Notamacropus eugenii: one gene and its partners. The protein of the gene in region 1 purifies or fractionates together with the protein of each later gene. This does not show direct contact. Links are inferred from orthologs where the notes say so. Each region holds a gene or a part of one and is shown in the gene's direction. Other genes may lie near its edges. The genes, in order: MAP3K4, GADD45B and GADD45A.

Region 1 (7,512 bases):
TCTAGAAAAACGGGAAGAGTTTAGTGTAGTAAATATGACTAACTTTGAATATATGAACACCAAAATGAGTTTTATAGCCTAGAATCACTGAGAAAAGAATGCTAAGGAACTTGAAATGGATTCTTAATATCGTAGCATTTTAATTCAGTCTTTATAACTCATTTCAGTGAAGCATCTTTATTAGAATCACAGAAGAGAATTTATGAGACTAATTGATATTTCTCTACTCCCATTTTACAGATGAAGACACTAAAGTTCAGTAAGATTAAATAACTTGCTCAATGTCACATAGCCAGAAAATGGGAGAGCTAGGACTAGACTTTAGGCCAATGGTCTTTCCACTATACTACATGTATCAGTAGTCACATGAATTAGAGTCACATCAGTCCCTATTCTGGAGACAGAGTGATTGGAAGAGATTGAACTGAAAATGGTGCCATGCATTCAGTAATCATATTTAATTGAAGATAAAATAAAGATTGTCCTTTACTAGGTTCCCTTGAGTATATTTTTGTTGTTGTTCAGTCATTTTTCAGTTGTGATGGACTCTTTGAGACCCCATCAGCAATTTTCTTGGCAAAGATACTGGAGAGGTTTGCTATTTCCTTCTCCTGCTCATTTGACAGATTTTACTCCCTTGAGTAAATATAAGCACTTAATAAAGTTAATTATGTAAATAAAGGTAGATGTTCAGTTGTGTATCTGACTCTTCAGGACCCTGTAGACAGTTGGTTTCCATGGGGTTTCCTTGGCAAAGATACTGGAGTGAAATGGTTTGCTATTTTATTCTTTAGTGGATTAAGGCAAACAGAGGTTAAGTGACTTGTCCAGGATCACACGACGGGTGAATATCTGAGGTTGAATTAGACCTCAGCTCTTCCTGACTATAGGGTGGGTCAATGCTCTATCCACTGAGCAATGAGCCTTCTTATTTGGGTGTCTAGAATGAACTTAGATAGGAGGTATGATATAGTGGTGACAGCACAGTATCTGAGGCCAGGTATAGGTTTAATGACATTGATCCTGGCTGTATGACAGTGGCCAAGTCATTTAACCATTCACCTATAAAATGTGAATAATAACATTTATAAAACTTACCTCACAGGGTTGTAAGGAAAACCCTTCAAGTGCTAGATAAAAGGGAGCTGTAATTACTGGTCATGGGAACACAGTATGTGGGATATGTCAAGGAAGCAGAATATTGCTGTTACCTTTTTGACTACAGGCAGTTACATAAGTTTCTGGGCCTATTTGTTCAGTCCAGACTCTTTAAGCTCTAAATCCTATATTTAATCCTTTATTGGTCTTTTATCCTATCCCTCAAATATTAAAATATTAAATTAATTCAATTTAGGATTCAAAGGGTTAAATGATCATAATTCAGTATAAACTCCTTGCAAAGAGTGGTTGCCTAATAAATATTTGATGAATTGAAGGATAATTATAATAATTATTTTAAAAATATTGTATTGAGCATTGTACACATATTTTTTTTTTTTTATTACAGAGCCAGGGAAGAAAAAACTGAATGACTTCAGGAATTAAGCTAAATATAATTAATTTGAAAAGAAAGGAATACTACATTCAAATGATTGTACATCACAGAACAATCTTGACAATCCATCCATTCAAAGAAGAAAAAATTTTATTTTTCCTAGCTTTGGTGGGATAAACAAAAAAGTGAAGGCATATATGGCTTTACTTACTAAAACTATTTAGGAAAACCTTATGGAATGTTGTGACATTTGATCTTGTTAAAAAACATAAGAGAAAACAACCAATTGCTGCAGCAGGGTGGTATAGTAGAAAGGGTAATGGTCCCCCAGCTTTCATTCCTAGCTCTGATACTTCTTATTTTATCAGTCACAAGCAAGTCATTTAACTTCTCATACATAAAATGAGACCAGTAGAGTACTTTGGATTCTGCCTACCTCACAAAGTTGTTGAAACTGAAAACCTTAAAAGGAAGTATAAATGAGTTGTTATTGTTATAATGGAATTTAAAAAATAATTTAGTGACCCTCGTACAGATCAGAAAAATCATTATTACAAAAATCATTTTTGCCTTATTCTGAATTGGAAATAAATTATACTTAACAGTCAATTTTTTAATCTTCATGATTTTTATAAATCTTTTTGTTTTCTGTATGAAATCATAGATGAACAATGATTCTTAAAATGAATTTATGTATCTAAATTTCATGAATGCCATTGTAGGAATATAGTTCAACTAATAAATCAAGACAGGAAATAGAAATGCATGTTCTCTAACTACAGGGAAAAGTGTTGTAGACTTTGAATGTTAAACAGTTAATTGCACATCCAGGAAAATGCTGATGGTTCAAATCTAATATCGTTACATTCAAACAAGAATTTTTTTAATGAGACTTGCGTAAAAAGTACGTCCTGGAGTTTCTGTAGGAATTTTGTAGTTATAAGTATGCTTGATTCTTGATGCAATAAGTTATCCACCTCCTTATCAAAGAGGTGATAGATTAAGTGTACAGACTAACATACTTTTTTGAACATGGCCAAGGAGGGAATCTGTTTTTCTTTACTATGCAAACTTGTTACAAAGGATTTTTTTCTTTTTTCCAGTAGGATGGAATTTGGGAGAGAGAGAAAATATATTTAATTAAAAAAAAAGGTTAAAAAAGATAGGAAAGATCTTCCCCAATACCTTTGCAGATGTCCAAGGTGCAGAAGATTGTACATATATGTGTATATTAATTTGACTAATGCATATAAATATACACTATTCCATATAACTATAAAATTTTTAAAAAATGTTGATCGACTTTGCTGATTTTTTCCTGTTTTCTTTAAAAAAAATGAGTGGGGGGAGATGGGAGATGGAATTTAGCTGATGTTAAAACAAAAGAAAAATTATTTTTCAAAAGTGCAGAATTAATTTTCACAAACCAGAAATTGAGAAAAATGTCATTATCATTTCTTTTAAAAAATGTTTAGCGGGGCGATTAAAAAATGCTTTAAATGTAAAGTTTTTGCAAAATGCTCCGACATCCTCTTGGGCAAGCTTATCTTTCTGCTGTGGATCGGACTGTTTCTACAGCTCCTTAATGGATCCGGCAGCAGTGTTTTTTCATTGGGCCCTTTGCTCGATTCATTTAATGGTCTCGGGTGGTGGCACGCATTTTTAGGTCCCCCGGGGTATCAGTTTAAAATCGTTTCTCAAAAACCCTGCTTTGGAGCAGAAGGGTGCCGCTGACTTCAGCCCATCCAACTCCACCCCGGCCGGCCTCTCGCACAGCGGGGGGCGCCGGGGTGATGTAGATTTCACTTTCCCTGCCCGTAAATTGGGGGGGAATCTGCCATCTGTAGGTGTGGCGGGGACTCATTTGCAAAGATCTGCAAAGACTCGAAACTTCCCAAGGCACAAGCATTACTTGGCCACGGTGGCAAGGTCGACCCTTACTTTGCTTCTAGTGTTTGCCTCTAAAATAGTATCTTATTTAGGAAATGTGGTAATAATATCGCGGACGGGCTCCCCTTTGATGGCATTCCACCATTCCTGAGACATAACGACCAGATCTGGGCAATCAGAAGTCTCAGTAAATACCCTGCAGCCTTCAGGCTCGTCACCTCCCTCCTCTCTTGTAGATTACAGAAAGTGACCGGGATCGCCCAGCAGGGGCCCAGGAAAGCCCGGCCACCCGGACCCGAGCTCCCGGTGACACCCGGCACGCTTTCCTAGCATCCTCCGCAGCGGGCCCCCGGCCTGGAGACTGGGCCCCCCCGCCCCAACTCCAGCTCTTCCCCCCCCCCCCCCCCCCCCCCCCCGCTGCGTCCCTCCTCCCCTTTGCCCCTCCCTTCCCCGGTCGTCTTCTCCGCCCCGTGGAATTCCAGAGCCCGCAGCAGCCGCCCGCGTCGCCGCCCTCGGGAGGCTTGTCCCTCGACGCCCGCCGTAGCCGGGCTCTCTCTAGGCTGGTCGCCGTTTCCAAGATGGCCGCGGCGCGGACGCTCCCGGGCCGAAGGGCTCCCGCCGCCGGATAGAGGCGGAGACGGCGTCCAGCGAGCCTCCCGACCCCCGTGCTTCCTCCAGTCTGTGCCCGGCTGCAGCCTCTCTTTCGCCGCCGCCATGCCGGGCTCGGTGCACGGATGAGAGAGGCCGTGGCCGCCGCCGAGCTGGTCCCCCCTCCCGCCGGAGCCGCCGCCGCCGCCGCCGCCGTCACCGCCATGGAGGAGCCGCCGCCGCCGCCGCCGCCGCCGCCGCCGCCGGAGCTGCAGCTGGAGCTGGAGGGCTGCCAGGCGGCGAGGTAAGGACTGCGGCGGCGCCTGCAGCGCCAGCCCGGGTTCTGGCTGGAGGCTGCGGGGGCGGGGGCAGCTGCAGCTGGTGCTTCCCGCCAGGTAACTGGGAGGGGGGTCGGAGGGGGGGGTCGCTCCGCTCAGGTGCTGCTCGTTAGCGGGGCTCCCCCTCGGTCCCCCCTTATTGGGGGAGCGGGCGTGCTGGCGACTGGTCCTGGGCCAGGAGACTGGGTCCCGCGAGGTGGGGAGGGGAAGCACGCTCTCTCTCTCCCCAGGGCACTTGTGAAAAGTGGGTTTCTCTTCGCTTTTACCCCCGCGGCGCGCTCCCCCCTCCCCCGTTAGAGGGGGCGGATGTATCTGGAAGGGAATGTGCAGCCCCCTCTTTCTGGCCTTCACGTTTTGAAGTACTTGGGGCGCCCCCCGCTTGCCTCCCCCGGTAGCCAGCAGTCCGCGGGGCAGCCTTTGGCCCCCCTTTTTTCTTTCCTTCTTGGGTACCCAGCAGTCAGCATTTAGACTGGGGCCTTTTGTGCTTTGAGGACCGAGTGTGCGAACGAACTGGTACACGCGTTTGAGTCACGTCACGCACCCTCTGTCTGGGCACGAACACCTCAGCCAGCCTGGGTACCCACCGAGCCGCCGTGCAGTCTGCTACCTCTTGCATCCGTCGGTGACCGTGATGATTTCTTGCCCTTTTTTTTAGTTGAGAGAGAAATTACACGAACTCTTTGGTGCATCAAAAGGTTATTTTTTAAAATGAGTTTGGGTACCCTCTCCGTGCGACTAGGCGCTGAACCCCTCTGTGCACTCCTTTCCAAAGAAGTTCATCACCTGGTGGCCAACTTTGTGGGGATGATGGTCTGGAACTTCGCTAGGCCAGCCCTTTGGGAGGCTGTGCCTTGCTGGACTTGCTGGAGCTTGCTCTTAGCTGGAGCTCGGGGTCATCCCCGGGCCACGATGAATCCTTGGAATAGGACTCTAGTGGAGGTGCTCAAACTCACAGTACTGGAATAAGAAACACACTTTTCCTTTTGTACCTATGCTTGCATATTAAAGTATCCTCCTCTTGCCCTGCTGCTGAGTGAGTTTTCGAAGTACTGCCCCCTGTCTTTCCACGTTGTAAGTACTTAACTTATTCTATGCATCTTTTTAGTTTGGCAAGCTAGTTATTTCAAGTCAGGAAACATTTTTTAAGGGCTTACTATGTGCTAGGCACTGTGCTAAGTGCACCAGGGAAAGGCAAAAGCCACCTCCCTGTCCTCGAGATGTTGATTTCTTGGAGAGAATATGAAAACGTCTAGGAACAGAATGTAGAAAGAATCATTTGGAGATAATAGAGGATAGGCACTAGGATTACAGAGGATCAAGCAAGACTTCTTGTAAAATATAAGATTTTGCTGCTCCTTCAAAGAAACCAGGGAAGGTAGGAGGAGAAGATGAAGGGGAGGATATCCAGGACTTGGAGAACAGTCATTAAGAATGCCCAGAGCCTTGGGATGTAGTGCCCTGTGGGAGGAACCGCAGGGAGGTTTGTGTCTGTGGATTGCAGAATGTTCTGGGGCAAAGGAAAGGTTTTTGGAGGGCTTTGAATGCCTAAAAGAGCCTAGAGGTGATAGGGAGTGTATTCTGTGAAGAGGAGGGATGACTTTGTTTGATCTGAGTTTTAGGATGATTAATTAACATAGTGAATCAGGAGCAGATAGGTAACCGTATTTCTTTTTTCCTTCCTGACTCAAGAAATAAGAATACAGGGGGAAAGGAGGGACTAGATTTAGAAAGAAATCAAGTTAAGAATGGTTTAGTGGCTAGTGCTGGACTTGAAATCAAGGTCTGCATTTATAACCCTACCTCTCCTGAAACTTAAATGAAATTACTCTGCATACCTTAAAGAACTAATCATTGCTAGCACTCATATGGTGCTATATAGTTTGCAAAACAGTTTACAAATATCGTCTCATTTGATCTCCACAAAAATCCCAGGTAGATGGTTGTGATTACTATTTCCATTTTATACAAGATTAGTGGCTTGTTGGGAGTCAATAAGCGTTAGGGGCCTGATTTGAATTCCTGACTCCAGGTCCAGCTCTGTTATCTATTGCACCACCTGGTTGCCTCAACTATTACAGTTATATGTCTGATTCGCTAGTCAGAGATGGGTTTGTGTGGATCGCTATTCCACTTCATCTCTTTGACACACTTTAGTAAACTAAGGAAAAATGTCTCTGAGAAATGATAATAGGGCAGTGTGGGAATGAAGATACGTAGGAAAAAACCCCAGGTTTTATTCCATTTGAATCTGTTTAACTTTAAAAGTTTCTTTTGAGATAAGTTCATGGCTGCAGTTTTTGAGTTATTTTTATCTGTTTTACTGGGGCTTTTGAAAAACATGGTCATTGCAGAAGTAGTAAATAGCTAATGCAATACCTGATGGCTAAAAGAAATTATTGATGTTTTGAATAATAATCAAGTTAAACTTTGAAAAGAGTGAATGTTAAAATATTTTCAAGGGAGAAAGGGCAAGGAGCTCTGTACACAGAAATGCCTTTGAGGTGATTTAATTCTCTGATAACAAAAGAAAAAACATTAATTTTGTTTTCAGGGAGATGTCACTTTTCCTTACAAGGCTAAAATATAGGTACTAATAGGTAAGGTAGTGCTTTTAAAAAAGTTTTCTGAATACTTTACATATTTGTCTGCTTTAGTCAAAGGGCTCTTAACAAAATTATTCAAAGCAACCTTCCATTTGATTTTGTAGGAGAAAATAACTTTGTAAAATGTCACTCCACAAATTTGGACTTAGTCCCCTTAGCTGTTTCGTGCCACTCTTTACAACTCTGAAGGCTGATTTTGAGCAAGATATTACTATTGGTAATCTGCCAGGATAATTAACCCCATCCAGTGGTTGAGGTCATGTGCTCTTCACCCTCTGCAACTCAAATCATTGGTTGAAGCTTTAGTTTCTGAATTAGATGGATTGTGATTTTAGTCCAGTGCTAAGTACTCGAGATACAAAGAAAGGCAAAAACTGGATCCCTGCCCTCAAGGAGCTCACATTCCAGTGGAGAACAACTAGCAAACAATTATTTACATACCGATATATACAATGTAAAAAGGAGGTAATAACCGAGGGAGGGAAAACACTACCACTGGTAGGGAGGTGGGAGGGGAAGAGAGTGTACAAATATTTATCAGGCACATAGTGCCTGCTATGTGCCAGGTACTGTGCTAAACTCTACAAATATTATCTCA
Region 2 (7,776 bases), on another chromosome or scaffold:
TGCATGAAAAATTAGAAAGGAGTTCAATTCCATTGTGACATAGTCTTCAAAATAGCAACAAACCAAGTTCAGGGACCCCATGAGAAGAACCCCTGGTCAGTCTAACCCCCTTATTTTTATAGATGAGGGAAACAATGCATTGCAACTCAGGGAAGGAACTCAGTCAGATTCATGTGCACAGATAGCAGAGACAGAGTTTTGAAGGCCCTTAGAACATGGCACAAAGAGTGACTGAGCTTTTAGAGATCAGTGAAATCTTCTAGTCCAACCACCTCATTTTAGTGATTCCACATCTGAGGCCCAGAAAGGTCAGTGACTGTGTGACTTACTCAGGATCACCTAACCTACCTGTAAGTTGGCAATCAGGTTCTCAAGTCACCATTCCTAGTCTCTCCAAATCCAGAGGGGGTTTTTGGTTTTGCATTATAACCAGCCTTAGGAAGCCTCTTTAGTTCATCATTTGATCTCATGGCATGGGAAGGCTTGGTAGGTGGGGAGGGGATGAAGAGGGGAGTGGAAAAGGGGCAGGAGAAAGTGAGGGCAGTTTGCTCTGACATGAGTGAGGATGGAAACATATAGTGGAAAAGGGAAAAAACTGGCTGGAGAGTCAGAGGGTCTAGATCCAAAATCAATCTTTCACACTTAGAACTTTAGACCTTGGGCCAGTCTGGGCCCATCTGTAAAATGAGGAGCACTAAATGACCTCAGAGATCTCTATGATCCTTCCCCAGTCTTGCTGACTAGGTCTCCCTAGGTGATTAGTTCCCTCTCCCATACAGGCACATGACTGATCTTTGACATTTGCCCTCCCCTCTCTCCCCTCCCCTCTCTCTCTTCCCTAACCTCCTTCCCCACCCTCCTCTCCCCTCCCCTTCCTCCCCTGCCCTCTCACCCCTAAATGGAATTTCCCCTGGCAGTCCCAATCCTCCCTTTCAGGCCCAGTCAGACCTGGGCCAGGCTCTCCTTCCTTCCTCTGCACAAAGGGCTCCCTCCCTTCCCTTTATTTCCCCATGGGGGCTCTGCCCTTGTCATCAGCTATAAACCCTGAGTTTGTCTCTGGGCTGGTAATACTCTTGTTGGCCAACAGATGGTACTAGCGAACCATGTTTCCTGCCTGGGCAGTAGCTCTTCAGAATAAAAATCCCTGAGAGTTGAGAATGATAGAATGTCAGAACAGGAAGCAGCTTTAGATATCATACAGTCAAACACACATTCCCTTCTCCCATTTTACGTATGGATCAACTGAGGCCCAGAGAGATGAAGCTAACGCCTAGAGCTGCATAGGTAATTTTCTAATAGCCGTGGTGTTTGCGTTTGGGTCCTCTATCTCAAAACCAGGGCTTATTCTACAATGTTCACCTCTAATCATTGAATCCCAGAGTTGGAAGGGACCTTGTAGGGCATCAGGTCCAACCTGGCACACCTTAGTAGGCATCCCATCTAACATTCCTTATAATGATCACTCAGTGTTTGTTTAAAGACCCTTCAGGAATGGAAGTCTACACAGTTAGGAAGGGTCTGACCTGTCCTAGTTGTATGACCCTGGGCAAGTCACTTTACCTCTGTTTCTCTCAGTTTTCTCATCTATAAAATGGAGATAGTAATAGCCCCTACCTCTCCGGGCTGTTGTAAGACCAGATGAAGTCATAATTGTAAAGCACAGGGCCTGGTACATAGTAAGCCCTATATTGAATGCTGCTGTTCAGTCATTTTTCAGTCATATCTGACTCTTTGTGACCCCAATTGGGGTTTTCTTGGTAAACATACTGGAATGGTTTTTCATTTCCTTCTCCAGCTCGTTTTACAGATGAGGAAACTGAGGCAAACATAGTGAAGTGACTTGCCCAGGGTCACACAGCTGCTAAGTGTCTGTGGCTGGATGGGAACTCAGGTCTTCCTGATTCCAGGCCTGGCCCTGTATTCAATATGCTTCCACAAGATAGCCCTTTAAGTATTTGAAAACATCCTGTCTTCTCTTATCCCAGACAAAACATTCCCTTCAGTTTGAGTCGTAGTCCATATGGAGCCCTTACTGACCACGGCCCTTACACTGATACGGTGAATTCTTCAGGCCTCAGACTCTGAAAAGGTTTAGAGACCCAGAATGACTTGTCTAAGATCCACTCAGCCATTCAGCAGTAGATCTGAGAGCAGAATTTAGATGCCTTCTGGACTCTCCGTCCACCTCCCTTGCCAGACCAGGGGACTTTAGCCTGTCCACTGTACAGAGGGGAGAAACTGAGGCACTAGGAAAACTGAGTAAGGTCATGGAGGGTATAATGTTAACAATGTAAGCAGCAGCTGGTGAAGTCCTAGACTGGAGATTAGGGCTTTAATCTTGGATCTAATATTTGTGAGCTATGTGACCTTGCCTTGACCATTCACCCCCAGAGGTCTCCGTTTCTTCCTCGGAAAAGTAAGGGACTTGGACTACATGGTCTCTCCGACATTCTATCTCATGTATTATAAATCTTTTATTTTTGACTTTCTATGTTTTAGGGGTCCAATCCAGCTCCGACATTCTATGTTCTAAGTGCTCTGTGTGCTAAGGACACCCCCAAGGTCTGACATTCTATGTTCTAAGCGCCCATCCAGCTCTGACATTCTGGGTTCTAGGGGCCCTCCCAGCTCTGACAGCCTGTGTTTTAAGAATCTTCTCAGTTCTTACGTTCTGTCTTCCTCCTCTCCCCCTCCCCCGCCCCCAGCTCTGACAATCTACTCTAAGACCTTTTTATCCTCGCCCCTTCCCCACCCACCCCCTCCGCCCACATCTCCAGGCTCGGGGCTGTGAACGCCAGACTGGGAGCAGAGAGTTGCCGGCAGAGGGCGCCATCGCCCCAGACGGAGAGGACGCTTGCCGTCACTTGTTCGCTCCCCCCATTCCCCACTCACCGCCCCCAGGCACTCTGTGCGCACCCACAGTGGAGGAGGCAGGGTCCCCGGCTGTGCAGAGTGTGCGCCAACGTTACTTGGCGCCACGCTGGGCTGTCTGAGAAGCAGCCCCGAAGGCTGAAGCCACTCCAGCTCTCGTGTCTCACTCCACCCACCCTAGGGGAAGCGAGGAGCCAGGGACCCTTCCCTTGCCCCTCGCCCCATCTTACATGCCTCTTTTCACTGTCAGTGCAGAAGAACAACCATTAAGCTTTACATCTCCCCTCACTATCCATAGACTGCACATATTTGTCCCCATTTTCCAGATGAGAAAACTAAGTCTCCAAGAGTCTGAATTGCCCTTGAGTGACTTTCTCACTCAGCTATAAAGGCCTTAGCCTGGAGCCCAAGACTCGGTCTAATACGCTTTCCTACGAGTCGTGGGGGGCTTCTTCCCCTTCCCTGGCTCTGACTTTGAGGTGGAAGCTGTTCCCTGGGCGGCCCAGACAATCGTCTGGCAACTTTCAGGTTCCACGCTATTGAGATCCCAGAAAAGGTCCTCTTTATTACAAGGCTAGATGTCCTGGGAAAATCCCCTCTCCCTTCGAAACATTATTTTTAGACCGTTTGGAGGCCTTTTCAGGGAGCTGCCCTATGTCTAGGATGAGTTAGGGGACCTCAGCAAGATATTACTGGGCTCCTCTCTGCTAGAAACAAATTGCATCCGGACAGAAAAGAATTCCAGAATCCCAGGACTAAGAGCTAGAAGGGACCTTGGAGATCATTTAGCCCACCTTGCTTCTTTTGCAGAAGAAACTAGAGCCTGGAGAAGGGAAGGGACTTGCCTCAGGTCACACAGATTCCAAATTTAGGTAGGCACCCAGACGTGATCATAGAAAGGGCCACGGGACTCGGTGTTAATCGAAACCTGGATTCAATCCCTGCTCTGATACTGTCTCTGGGCAAGCAGCTCCCTGTCCAGAATCTCAGTTTCCCCATCTGTTAAATGAAATTAAACACCATTTGCATAACTCTTGGTGTGTAGTGAAAAAGAGTGCACACTTTCCGTGTGACTGGTAGGACACTTAACTTGTCAGAGGCAGTTTTTTCGTCTGTGAAATGGAGGCGCTCATACACGCACTGCTAACTTGACCGGGTTGTTGTTGGGGGTGGGGTGGGGTGAAATGCTTTGTTTTGCAAACCTATAAGTGCAGGAATGTGGGGAGGGGATGCGGGGGGAGTGCCGATTAAGGCTGTGCAGCCGCTTTATAAACTTTAAGGTGCTGGATTATTTCCAGCCCTCTCCCCCTTTAGGCTCTGGCTGCAGCTCGGGGAAGCGCGCCGTGCAGAGGGGCTGGCTGGTCGAACTGGGCTCCCCGAGCCCGGGAACAAGAAGCCCGACGCCGGGCTGGGATTCCGGCGCAGACTACCTTTGAAAACTCTGCCCGGGTGCAGGGGCTGGGGGAACTGGGACACGAACGCGCCAGGAGGGCTGCAGTGGTGTCACCGAGTCAGCTCTCTCCTTCCGGAAGGCAGCTTTCTGCAAAATCACATGCACTAGGCGCGCGGTGGAAATCCCGTGCAGAAACTGGGAGCCGCTGCCGGGAAACTCACTCGAAACCTCCTTTAAAAAAAAAAAAAACCCAACCGTTCTCAGCTACTCCCCCCCCCTTCCTGCGCCTCGCGCCCCCACGTGGGGTTGCCCCGGGGGAGATCCGAGCCTGCCCAAAGCCGCCCGCTGCTCCGCACCCCGAGCCAATAGTAGCCAGAGTTGCCTTGATTTTCGTTGATCGGGCCGCCAATGAACGCAGCGGAGGCTTCTGCTAGGCCACGCCCCCTTTCCCATCGAAGGCCATATAAGGAGGACGCGGCGGCAGCCGCGGCAGTAGAGGTTTGGAACTGTTGCGGATCTCGCGGACGCCTTGGATTTAACGCCGCTTGGATTTGTCTGCCGCTTCTCGTTCGCTTGCTCGCTGGATTAATCGCATTGACTCGGGGATCTTGGGTTTTGGGGGTTTTTTTGAAGAATTCTCTCCTCCTTGCTCCGGCTTTTCAGCCTCGGCACCCGTGGCTTGCCACCGCCGCCGCCACCTCCTCTCTCGGGACGGAGGGACGCCTTGCTCCAGACTCGGCCGATTTGGGCTTCGAGGTCTCGGCTTTTCTGTTACCGACTGACTTGGGGGCTTCTTCCACTGTGGATTACAATTGCACCATGACCTTGGAAGAAGTCGTAGCCTGCGAGAGTGCGGCTCAGAAGTGAGTGTCCAGCCGGGGGTTGAATTCCCCTCCCTCCCGTGGGACAGATAGATGCCCCAGGCTCCGATGACCTCCCTGGGCTGGGCTCCCAATGTTGCTGCCTTGCTGCCGAGCGGGGCCTCGGACCCATTCCTTCGCCTCTCTGAGTGTCCAAGGGGGAGGGGGTCCCTACCTCTGAAAAGGACTATCTGCAGTCGCCCCTTCTCTTCTTCACCCCATCGCCTTTCCTGATCTCTTACGCTCTGTGCCTCGGTTTCTCTCCAGGATGCAGACGGTGAGCCATGCGGTGGAGGAGTTGCTGGTAGCGGCGCAGCGCCAAGACCGCCTGACAGTGGGCGTGTATGAGTCGGCTAAGCTGATGAATGTGTGAGTTTCTGCCTGTCTTTTTCATGCTGCCGGGGTGGGGGGCTGGTGGGCGATGGGGTACCGCTTTCCCCTGGTGCACAGCCTACGAATGTGCAGTAGGAGTTTTGCAACATGCCACCAAAGAGCGCGAGCCCCTTCCCTTGCCGAGGGTTGCTCACCTCTCTCTCTCCCCCTCTCCTTCCCCTCTTTCCCCGTGTTCAGAGACCCAGACAGTGTGGTCCTTTGCCTTTTGGCTATCGATGAGGATGAGGAGGATGACATCGCCTTGCAGATCCATTTCACGTTGATCCAGGCCTTTTGCTGTGACAACGACATAGATATAGTTCGGGTGTCTGGGATGAGGAGGCTGGCCGAGCTGCTGGGGGAGCCGGGGCCCACGGAAGAGAGCGAGGAGTCCCGGGATCTGCACTGCCTTCTGGTCACGGTGGGTGAGCTTGTCCCTCCCTAGCTTGGGGCAGGGTTACTTAGCAACTGGGACAAATAGATGGGGACCTTCAGGGCCTGCTGGGAGAGAGAAGTTATTTTGTTTGTCAACATGGTTCACACAAGGAGGTGGGGAAACAAGGCTCAGCATTCCATCTCTTGCCATCTGGCTTGAAGAAAGGGCATCTCGTGCCCTGGCCAGCTCAGCACTGAGCTATTCCGGGCACCCATGGGCCAATGCCCAGGTATCCCCGCCCAGCCAGGCCTATAACTCATAACTTGTTGCTATTTTGGGATGGGCCTTGTTTTTCTGAATGGGGGAGGGGGAGGGAAGAGTGCTGCTTACTTGAGCCTCCTTAGCCTAATGCTCTTTTTATTTTTCTTACCCCCTCAGAATCCTCATACTGACTCATGGAAGAGCCATGGACTGGTAGAAGTGGCTAGCTACTGTGAGGAAAGCCGAGAGAACAACCAGTGGCTCCCCAACATCTCCCTCCAGGAGCGCTGATAGCCTTCCCCAAACTTGGAAAATTGCTGCCTTGCAGACACATTAAAAAAAAAAAAACAACCCCCCCCTTCCCAAACCACACCAGATCCCAACCATCAAGACCACTGTGGGGAAGAGGTGTAAGGGACAGAATGTTCTTGCTGAAATGGGGTGAAGAAACACCTGCAACCTCTGTCAGGACCTAGTGGAGCCTGGGGTCAGGAATGACAGAGCTGAGAGGTGGGACTGTGTCGGCCTCAGGAAGATCCACCAGCCAGAGCGAGAAGGTGACCATGGGGCCTTGGAATCCAGATGCCTGGAGTCCAGTGATTGGGTCGGGGAATTAGGAGGAAGACCTGCCTTCCCCCACCACTAAGGGACTATGCATGGAGACGAGATGGTCGGGCTGCCCCTCCGGCCGGCCACAATGACCTGTTAACTGTTGCAAATGGGAGTTGGCATTTGCCACCAAGACTTGATGGTGGGAGGTCTAGAGAGACCTACTGGGACCGGGAGCCTGGGACAGGCTGCTGCTGCTGTATGCTTAGGAGCTCCCAGTCTGCAAACAATATACATATACAGATATATTTTGACGTTGTTGCACTCATCGAGCCGTTTGGAAAGAGAAGAAAAGTTTATATCTATAGCTCTATTTTTGTGTGTGTGTTTAATGTTGCTTTGGTAATAAATTTCTGCACTCTCCGGCTCCTGTACGTGTTGGCTCTTCTGCCCCCTCCCCCAGTCCCTTTCACGGCTCAGCTGCCCCAGAGGGAGCTCAGCTCTACGTTGTCCTGCAGCCTTAGACCAGGAAGTCTTAACTCCCTGTTAAAAACCACTTCAGGAGTAACTTGCTGCTCGTTTGCAAAAACACTGCAGTTTCTGTGGTCGGCGCCAAGGCCTCAAACTAATAACAAAGGCCTAACTCTTTTTTTTCCTTCCCCTCCTCTCTTCTCTCTTCCCTCCCTCTCCCCTTGGCACAGCAATTAAAGGACCGGTTTATTGCGAAACTCAGCAACTCTCCACGGTGGCGTGTGCCCCGTGAGCGCAGCTTTAGAAACCTGTCTCCTTTGGCGCCTGCCCCGTTCTCAATTAGGCAGAACTCAAAATTGGAGAGGTGGCAAATCTACCACAGACAGCCCGACTGCCCCTTTCTATCCCCGCCCCTTCCCTTTATCTCTCCTTTTTGCAAATAGAGACATGAGCTCCCAGGGGAAGAGATTTGCCCAACCGAGGTCATGTAGCAAAGTTTGTGGGAAGACCTGGGACTGGAGCCTGCATCTCCTGATTTGAGTCCAGAAACTTTTCATAAGATCTTAGAAGTGGATGGGAGTGGATCTGAGCTCATTTGGTCCAGATGTTTACAGATGAGAAAA
Region 3 (8,680 bases), about 270 Mb from region 1:
GATAAGGAAACCAAGTTTAAAAAGCTAAGCTGATGACAGCCCTTGGTATAGGTTAGGGCTAGACTCATCCCAACCCCCCAGTCCCTCACCACCTCCTGGTATGGACATTGACTTCATTGGTGCTAATGAGAAAGCAGATGATGCCTCATCACTGATCAGTGAACCCCAATGCCACAGGACACCGGGGAGCTGGCAGCTTCTCCATTTAGGGTAGTAGAAGGAATCTTCTCTTCTAAGGAGGACTAGTCAGGGCAAGGAACAAGCATCAGGAGCATTTTTGTTTCTCTCTGGAGCACAGTGGATAGAACACTAACTTGAGACAGGAGCAGACCCTGGTTCAAATCCCATCCTTGACACATTTCAATAATTGGGTGACCCCAGGAAGGATATCTCTCCGAGCCCCAGGCTCCACAGCTGTGGTATGGGGATAATAAAAGCAGTTGCTCACTAGGGATAAATACAAATCGAGCTATATAGGGGATAAATGGGAAGCAGAGAACAGAGGGGAGGCACTGGAATTACAAGTAGTACTGATAGATATTTACCAGATTAAAAGTTAAAACATTTTAGAATTATTATGAAAATAATTTTGACCTTGAAGATACCCAGAAATGGTCCTGGAAAACCACTGACTCAGAAGGTAAATCTTAAAGAGGCCCCAGGAGGCATTTGCTAATGGCAACTTGGATAGAACACCAGCTCTGAAGTCATGAGGACCTGAGTTCAAATTTGACCTCAGACACTTAGTAGCTATGTGACCCTGGGCAAGTCACTTAGTCCTGATTACCTGAAAAACGAAAATGCAGAGAGGTCCTGAGACCCAGAGAGTTTAAGCTGCCCCCTCCCCCCACTACGGTCACCCAGTTAATAAGAATCAGAGGCAGGATTTGGATCCCAGGTCTTCCTGACTCCAAGTCCAACACCTCTTCTCTTAAGACAGCTAACAGTGTCAAAATTTATTGAGTCAGAATTTAATGTCACTTCTAAGTAAAACATCAGAACCTCCTTAGCCTGGTGCCTGGCACACAGTAGGTGCTTAATCAATGCTCATTCAGTCGTGGGAAGGGAAATTGCTCGATAACTTAATGTACTTATTCTGATAGAATTCCATCCTCTTGAGAGCAGGGACCATTTGGGGCGAAATCTCCTGGCACAGTGCCTGGCTAATAAAAGCCTGCCAATCAGTTGATCACCTAACTAGCAATTTTTATGCCCCATCTAGAGGGGCTACTGCACCACTGCTACACCTAAACAGGCTGTGGTGCACAGGGGTTAGAGAGGTAGGAAGTCCAGGGCTCAAATCCCCACCTCTGGCTCTTTCTCACCATGTAGCCTTGGAGAGGTTAGTTCAACTCTCTGGGCCTCACTCTTATCTGTAAAGTGGGCATCACCATATAGGCAGCAGTACCCATTTGGGATAGTTGTGAGGCTCCAGTGGGTGTACCAGCATCAGGTCTTGGTACTCTTGGAGTGATGTGATGGCTCGCTGCCTCACAACCTGTTTGTGGGACACTGAGGAGGGGGGGTCCTATATCCAGGAGACAGGGAGGGATGAAATGGTGCTGGGTGAATTCAGCAGCACAGGGCAGGGATGATGTAAGTGAACATCTGAGCTAGAAATCACAGCAAATGAGCACTGATGAAATACTGGAAGCCTTGGAGCTTGGCCCAGTAATGACGCGAAGGTGATAAAACAACTTCCAGCACATGCCTTTCCTGAAAGGGGACAGTGGATCTGGGGGCAGAGAAAAGCCTGCTAACAAAGTGCCCTGAGCACCTCAAGTCATTTCTTGTCACAATGCATGTGTCCTATGTTATATGTCATGATCTTTGGAGCTTGAAAGGACCCAAGAGGTCATCCAGCTGGCCCACTTTTCAGAGGAGGATGCAGAGACCCTGAGAGGGGCAGAATATAGACTGAAGGGGTGGGATGGAAACCACATCATGGAAACCCAGAATCTCAGAGGTGGGAGGGACCCAAGGTCCTCTGGTTCTACACCTGACCCAGAATTCCTGATGCAGTAGTCCCCCTCTACCTAGGGAGAAACCAATAATACTCTAGGAGAGACAGAAACAGAGAGAGAAAGAGAGATGACAGAGACACACAGAGAGACAGAGGTGACAGAAAGAGACAGAGGAAGAGACCAGAAAGATAAAGAGAGAAAAAAAAGACAGAGAGAAGGAGGAGAAGAAATGCCGAGTATAGGGCTAGAGCCCTGGCTAGAGCCAAGGTATACAACTGTTAGGACACTTTGGGCCAGAAAATCCTCTAGGTTAGCTAGAGGTCAGTCAGTCAAGCAACAAGCATTTATTTTACACTTACTTTGGGGGTCTGGGGGGGGCACTGAGCTAAGAAAGGCAAAGACTTCTGCCTTCCCTGCCCTCCCTCAAGGAGTTCACAGTTGAGTGAGGTGTGGAGTTCTTTCTGGTGGACAGAGGTGAGTAGGACAAGATAAAATGAGTAGACAGGCCAGGCAGTATAGACTGTGGAAGTCTGATCTTGGCTCAGTGGGCAAAAGGGAGCCAGGGGAGGATTTTGACCACAGGAGGAGAAACATCACCAGATCAATGCTTAAGGAACCACAGTCAGGCAGCAGTTTCTATGGCTTGGAGGTGGGGTGGAGTAAAAGTAAGACGTTTGGGAGCTGCTGTGACAGTCTAGGAAGTTATTAAAAGGGCTTGTACCAGGTTGGTGCCAGTGTACATGAAGACCCGGGCAAAAGTTTCAGAAATATGATAGGAGCCGAAGAATCTAGCGGGGATGGTTGGGTTCCAGAGGTACCTGGGAGGGGCTTGGAGTTCGGATAGACCTGAGTTCAAATTGAGCCTCAGTCACTTCCTAGCTGTGTGACCCTGGGCTGTCTCCTCAGTTTCCTCATCTGTAAATGGGCATATGATAACACTTCCCTCCCAGGGACTGTAGGGAGGATCAAATGAGATAATAATGGTCAAGTGCTTTGTAAACTTGAATGCTTTAGTGCTAAAAAATAAATGCTAAAAATTGTCTTTACACATAATTGGAAAAAAGTAAAATATTATTAAAAGAAGAAAACTGTCACTGTTATAAGATGAGATGTGGGATAAGCAGGGGCAACAAGTCCCAAGAGGCTGATCTCCACGCAAGATACATGGGAGACCCGCCTCCCTCTCCCTTTTCTTCATCTGTTTTCTTTCACTTAGAAAAAGCAGCTCAAGGCCAGGGCAGGAATCACCCGCTGAATGTTCAGTGTAACCCACTTTCAGCCTCTCCCCATCATATCAGGATCAACAGAACCCTAAGCAATTTATCAAGGAAGACATAAACATGGTGGGGGGAGCAGCCCCCCTCCCCAGCCAAACGTCTCTACCTTTGCCCACGCAGTGACCACAGTCACACCAGCCCTGTTATGACCTACCAGCCCCAGGGAAGCATTTTCATTATTTGGGGGGAATTTAGATGGTCTAAGAAATAGCTTTGTACACATGTGCATTTAGATCATTCTGTGAACGCTGATATTTTAAACAGGGGCATCAGAATGTCTGAGAAAGCTGTCAAAGCCCAGAGCAGCCTCAGGCACATAGTAGGTACTTTAAAATGCATGTTGGATTGAACGGAGTAAGGCTTGGATAAATCTTGTCTCAGACATTTTACTACCTGGGTGACCTTGGGCATGTCACTTAGGTGACCCTAGGGCCTTGGTTTCCTCATCTGCTAAAAAATGAATGGGTGGATGAGATGGTTTCTGAGGTCTCTTCCAATCCTTGATCTGTGGGCAAGTCAGCCTCAGTTTTCATGATCTGTAAAATGGGCATGATTATAACAGTAGCACCAACTGAAAAGTAGAGGGATATAGAGGAGCTCTGGGGAATAAAACCGTGCATATCCAAGGGAATAAGGTGGGAAAGGCTGGAGAAAGGAGCTGATCCTTTCAGAACTGGATGAGGCCTTGATGGTAGTATCTCCCCTTTCCCAAGAGGCATCATGTCCAAGGAGGTTTCATACAGCAAGACGTGGGTGCAAAATCCACCCCTGACAGCTCTGTTACTCTAGAAAAATCAGCTTGCTTTTCTCAGTCTCAGTTTCCCCATTTCTTACCCATCTGACCCCCTGCCACCATAGAAGGTAGCTTTGGCAATCACTCCCATTTCCCAAGAAGTAAGGTCATCTTATAGAAAGGCAGAGTCCTCGGTTTGGAGCCAGAAGGGCAGCTAGGTGTCACAATGGATGGAGCACCCAGATCCGGTGTCAACCTTGGGGCTTGCTAGCTGTTTGACTCTGGGTAAGTCACATCGTCTGCCTCAATTTCCTTATTTGTAAAATGACGATGATAATAGTGCCTACCTCCCAAAGTCCTCAGGGAGGCCTTTGCCAAGTGCTAACTTATATTATCAAGCCCCAGGTTCAAAGTCCACCCTTCACATTTAGCTGGGTGCCCCTGGGCCAGTCACTCCATCCCTCTCAGCCTCATTGGCTTCATTTGTAAAATGTGTATCATAACAGCGCCCATCTTCCAGGGCTGTCGCGAGCATCACAGGAGATAACATGCATTTTTCAAACCTTGAAGCGCTATAAAAAATGCCACCCAACATCAGCTGCCTAACTTTCCAGTTATTATTATTATTTTTACAAAATGTGTAACTGCAGTGAGCCAGCCTCCCCTGGGCTCCGAGTTCACACACAGGGGGGCTCAGGGCACTGCTCCGGTGCCAGGGGGCATGCATTTTTCAGAGCTGAGAGCAGCTCTGAATGCCAAAGGGGACCCGGGGCTGCGCCAGCCACCCGCAAGCCCATGCCCCTCTCCTCTGGCAGCTGGGAGGCCCCCGAAGGGAGCCGACCTCTGCTCCCCAGCACCCCCCCCGAGCACCCGGTGCCCCAAAGAGGCCCACGCAGCCACGGTGGCACCGAGATCCTCGCCCTAATAATAAGCACCCTTGCCCAGACTGGCACAAACAGCCCTGGCGCGCGGACTTCGCCCCTGAGGGCTGGCCACCCTCCTTTCTCTTTTTACGTGGGGCCTGCCCTCGCTAATAATTACCGGAGGCATGAGCCCCGCAGAGGGCATTTAGGAGCGAGCCTCTGGAACAAAAGGGCACGAAACCAACGCGGACAAAAACGTGCGCGGCCAGCGAGACACCTGAAACCTCCCCGGCTCCGCGGGATGGACGGACTCCCTTACCCTGCCCAGCTCCGCTCCAGGCTCCTCCTCCTCAGCCGCCCAGGGCCAATGGGAAGGGCGAGGCGGAGCGTGTTCCACCCCCTTCGGGAGGCCTTCTGCCCCCCCCCAGCCACGCCCCCTTCGGGTCCTGCCCCCTGCAGGCACCGCCCCTTTCCGCGGGGCTCTCTCCGGCTAGGCCTCTGCGAGAAGGTCAAATTGCCTGAGAGGGTTGATTTGCATCTTCCAATGGGTGAGTCGTATGCAAATAAGGCTGGAGTTGGTTGGCTGGGTGTAGGTAGGATAACGCCGCGGAGCCGGGCTCTTTGTCCTTCACCGGCTGTGGAGCAGCTTCAGTCTGTTGGTGCGTCCTGAGGCTGCGGGTGGACTAGGGAGCGAGCGATCCGCCGCCGGCAGAGAGGAGGCGGCGGCGGCCCCAGGGCGACCGGGCCGGAGCGAGGGAGCCAGGCGGCGCTGCTGCTGCAGCCGGTGCAACCGGTGCACAGCCCGGGCCAGGCGGGCAGCTCAGAGCCGGGGCGCCAGGACCCGGGCGGCAGCCGGGGCAGGGCAGCCGGGCAGGGGCAGCAGCTGCTGCAGCGCACGCCGCGCTGCGGGGGGGCGGGGGGGGGACGGGGACCGGACCTGCCAGAGCAATATGACTTTGGAGGAATTCGCGGCCGGAGAACAGAAAACTGAAGGGTGAGCTGGGGGGGCAGCGCTGCCCTGTCGGGAAAAGGGCAGGGGCTGGACCGCTCTGCCTTAAGCGCGAGCAGGGGTGGGGGACCACCGGGCTGGCAGAACCGCTGCCCCCTGGCACCCAGCTGGAGGAGCCCCAGCTGGAGAAGCCCCCGCCGGGCCCCGTGGGGGGGCCCCCGCCCCCGCCCGTGGCTTCTGCGGTCTGCAGTTTGGGGTGTGGGCTGAGTTCCGAGGACAGGAAATGTCCCCAGTGTGGGGAGGGCGGCGAGTGGGAAATGGCACTTTTCTCACCGGCCCGTGCATGTGGACTTGGTCGTGGGCACGCTTGTGTGGGTGCTTGCGAGGGCAGGGCGGGGAGGTGACAAGCTAAGTGCGGGGCTGGTGGGGGGGTAGGGGGGAGAGTCGGGTTTGCAGAAGTTAATGCCCAGTTTCGTGACCCCCGGGGATGCCTGGCTGTGGAATTGTGTGCATGGGCATGGGGGTGGGGCTGAGGGGGTAAGGACCCAGCCTGAACCTGCCCCCGGGTGTGACTGACGGGTCTGCCTCCCCTGTGCCCGCTGTCAGGATGGACAAGGTCGGGGATGCCCTGGAGGAGGTTCTCAGTAAAGCCCTGAGTCAGCGGAGTATCACGGTTGGGGTCTACGAGGCGGCGAAACTGCTCAATGTGTAAGTGGGGGAGGGGGCGGCGAGCACCTGTCTCCCCTCCCCCTCCGCGCCCCACTTTCCTCCCCTCCCTACCGTGCGCCCCACTTCGGGGATACTCTTTTCTGCCACACCGCCCCCTCCCTTTTTGTCTGCCCTTTCCTTTTCTGGGAACTCCACTATCTGTAGTTTTCTGGGATAGGGCCGCTGGGTGCATGCGTGTGGGAGCGAGTCCCTGCGTGGTGGGCACGCGTGTGCCTGCGTCACGGAGCTGGCGGCTGGGCATGGCTGCCCTCCTGCCTGTGTGTGCGTGCATCTGTGGAGCTCCTCGGGCGTGCTGGGTGGGGGCTCTGCGGGCTGCCAGTGTGTGTGTGTGGGGGAGCCCTTCCCGCCCCCTCCCCCAGGCCCTGACCGTCCGGGTGCCCCTCCTCGCTGCAGGGACCCCGATAACGTGGTGCTGTGCCTGCTGGCCGCAGACGAGGACGACGACCGGGACGTGGCCCTGCAGATCCATTTCACCCTCATCCAGGCTTTCTGCTGCGAGAATGACATAGACATCCTGCGGGTCAGCAACCCCGGGCGCCTGGCCGAGCTGCTGCTGCTGGGCACGGGTGGCCCGGCCTCGGCCACCGCCACAGCCTCGGGCGGGGGAGCCGAGCAGCCCCCGGACCTGCACTGCGTCCTGGTGACGGTAAGTGAACTGGAGGGGGATGGGCGGCCTCCACCTGATCGTCACCTGATGGCCGCCCCGAGAGCCAGCGCTGGCACCCAAGGGGGAGGGGGCTGCCTTTTGCCCCACTTCAAAGGCCGGCTGGACTTTGAACCGAAAGGTGCTGGTTTCATCATCAGGACTCTTGTCAGCGCAGAACATGCCCCAACTCGTTTGCTTCTCCCCAGTGCCCGGGCTGCCTGGCCGGCTCGGAAGAGATCGCTGGGCATGAGTCAGCGCCCCGGGCGCCCAGCGGCCTCCTTCTGTCCGTCCGCCTCCCGTGACTAATTCTTTTAGCAGTGCAGATTAGATAAAGCCAAGTGAATTCCTGGCTCACCCTCATTAAGGAGTCACCTCCATTCTCTGCCAGTCCAAGCTATAAATAGGAACACTGTGGGGGGGGGGGGGGGGGAAGAAAGAGGCAGACGTTGCTAATTCCCTGGAAATCCATTGGGGAGGACAGTGGAAAATTTCCCTGAAAACTTGCATTTTTTGAAAAAGGGAGGGTTTTTTTTTTTTTAACCTTCATGCCTGTTGGAGGGTAGGCAAGTCCTGAGTTTAGAGGTAAAGAGCAGAGGAGCGTAAATTTGGAGTTGGAAGGAGACCATCGAACCATCTTCCTTCATTGATCTGGGAAGGTCTGGTTTCCACTTATTTTTGGCCTTTTAAATATCAATTTTTTAAAGCTAGCCAGAGAATAAACAGCTTGGTTTGTTTTTTTTTTTCTGGCTCTGTTCTTTTTTAAGTGCCGCAAGAAGTATGTAGTTTAACTATTATGAAATCGAGCTGATGCTTTGAACGTGTGAGCTCATGCTTGTGGCCACCCTCTACCCTAGTCCTTAAAAGAGATGCCCCAAAAGCACAGCTCCAGGTGCCATCTGTAACCGTGAAAAATAAAAATCCTCTGCCTTCTAGTAGCTTATTGCTACTTCTCTGCTTTCATGTGCAAAGAACGGGGCCACCTAGGGTTCAGTCCGCTGTAGTGCTGGAGGAGGTCATTCATATGGACAGATCGTTATCACTCATGCAAACCCACGATTGTGTGTGGCCGGTCTTGTGCTCCCACCGGAGAACAGGGCCTTTGAGATGCTTGGATCAACTCCAGGAAAAATGTAACGATAGCGGATATTTTTGTAATGTTTTGTAAGGCTGCCTAGAGAGAGATTGTGGTGGGGGGAGTGGAGCCCAGCCCAGCCTTCCGATTCTGGGAGCCCTGGGTTCAGATTTCTCCTGTGACACCCCGCCCCCCCTTCAAGAAATTAACCCGAGGCTTCTGGGCGTTTCCCATAGCAACCCCTCGGGCCATCGGTGGTGGGTGGGGAAGCCTTACGTTAATTTATTTCTCTGAGACACTTAGTAGGAAATAGAACTCCCCATGTTCCTCTTCCCCTGCACAGACCGTGTCCTGGTTATTATTAGCAAATTGCTTGGGTTTTGAAAAATGCATTACCAGTTTTTTAACTTGAAGTATTCATTTCTTTCCAGAATCCACATTCCTCTC

What was found.
Region 2: the proteins of MAP3K4 (region 1) and GADD45B purify together in Homo sapiens (co-immunoprecipitation; 3 studies listed by BioGRID and IntAct, counting the BioPlex papers as one, with this or other methods). This does not show direct contact. The link is inferred for Notamacropus eugenii from reciprocal best matches to the Homo sapiens genes MAP3K4 and GADD45B.
Region 3: the proteins of MAP3K4 (region 1) and GADD45A purify together in Homo sapiens (co-immunoprecipitation; 3 studies listed by BioGRID and IntAct, with this or other methods). This does not show direct contact. The link is inferred for Notamacropus eugenii from reciprocal best matches to the Homo sapiens genes MAP3K4 and GADD45A.

What each region holds. Positions count from the first base shown.
Region 1 is NC_092873.1:254,422,760-254,430,271, forward strand, and holds the start of MAP3K4 (mitogen-activated protein kinase kinase kinase 4), read left to right. Parts: upstream 1-4,119; coding exon 4,120-4,277; intron 4,278-7,512. UniProt on the Homo sapiens protein: Component of a protein kinase signal transduction cascade. Activates the CSBP2, P38 and JNK MAPK pathways, but not the ERK pathway. Specifically phosphorylates and activates MAP2K4 and MAP2K6.
Region 2 is NC_092875.1:63,542,233-63,550,008, reverse strand, and holds GADD45B (growth arrest and DNA damage-inducible protein GADD45 beta), read left to right. Parts: upstream 1-4,750; 5' UTR 4,751-5,083; coding exon 5,084-5,127; intron 5,128-5,391; coding exon 5,392-5,493; intron 5,494-5,694; coding exon 5,695-5,917; intron 5,918-6,310; coding exon 6,311-6,424; 3' UTR 6,425-7,105; downstream 7,106-7,776.
Region 3 is NC_092873.1:528,182,953-528,191,632, forward strand, and holds the start of GADD45A (growth arrest and DNA damage-inducible protein GADD45 alpha), read left to right. Parts: upstream 1-5,430; 5' UTR 5,431-5,787; coding exon 5,788-5,831; intron 5,832-6,392; coding exon 6,393-6,494; intron 6,495-6,908; coding exon 6,909-7,161; intron 7,162-8,664; coding exon 8,665-8,680. UniProt on the Homo sapiens protein: In T-cells, functions as a regulator of p38 MAPKs by inhibiting p88 phosphorylation and activity.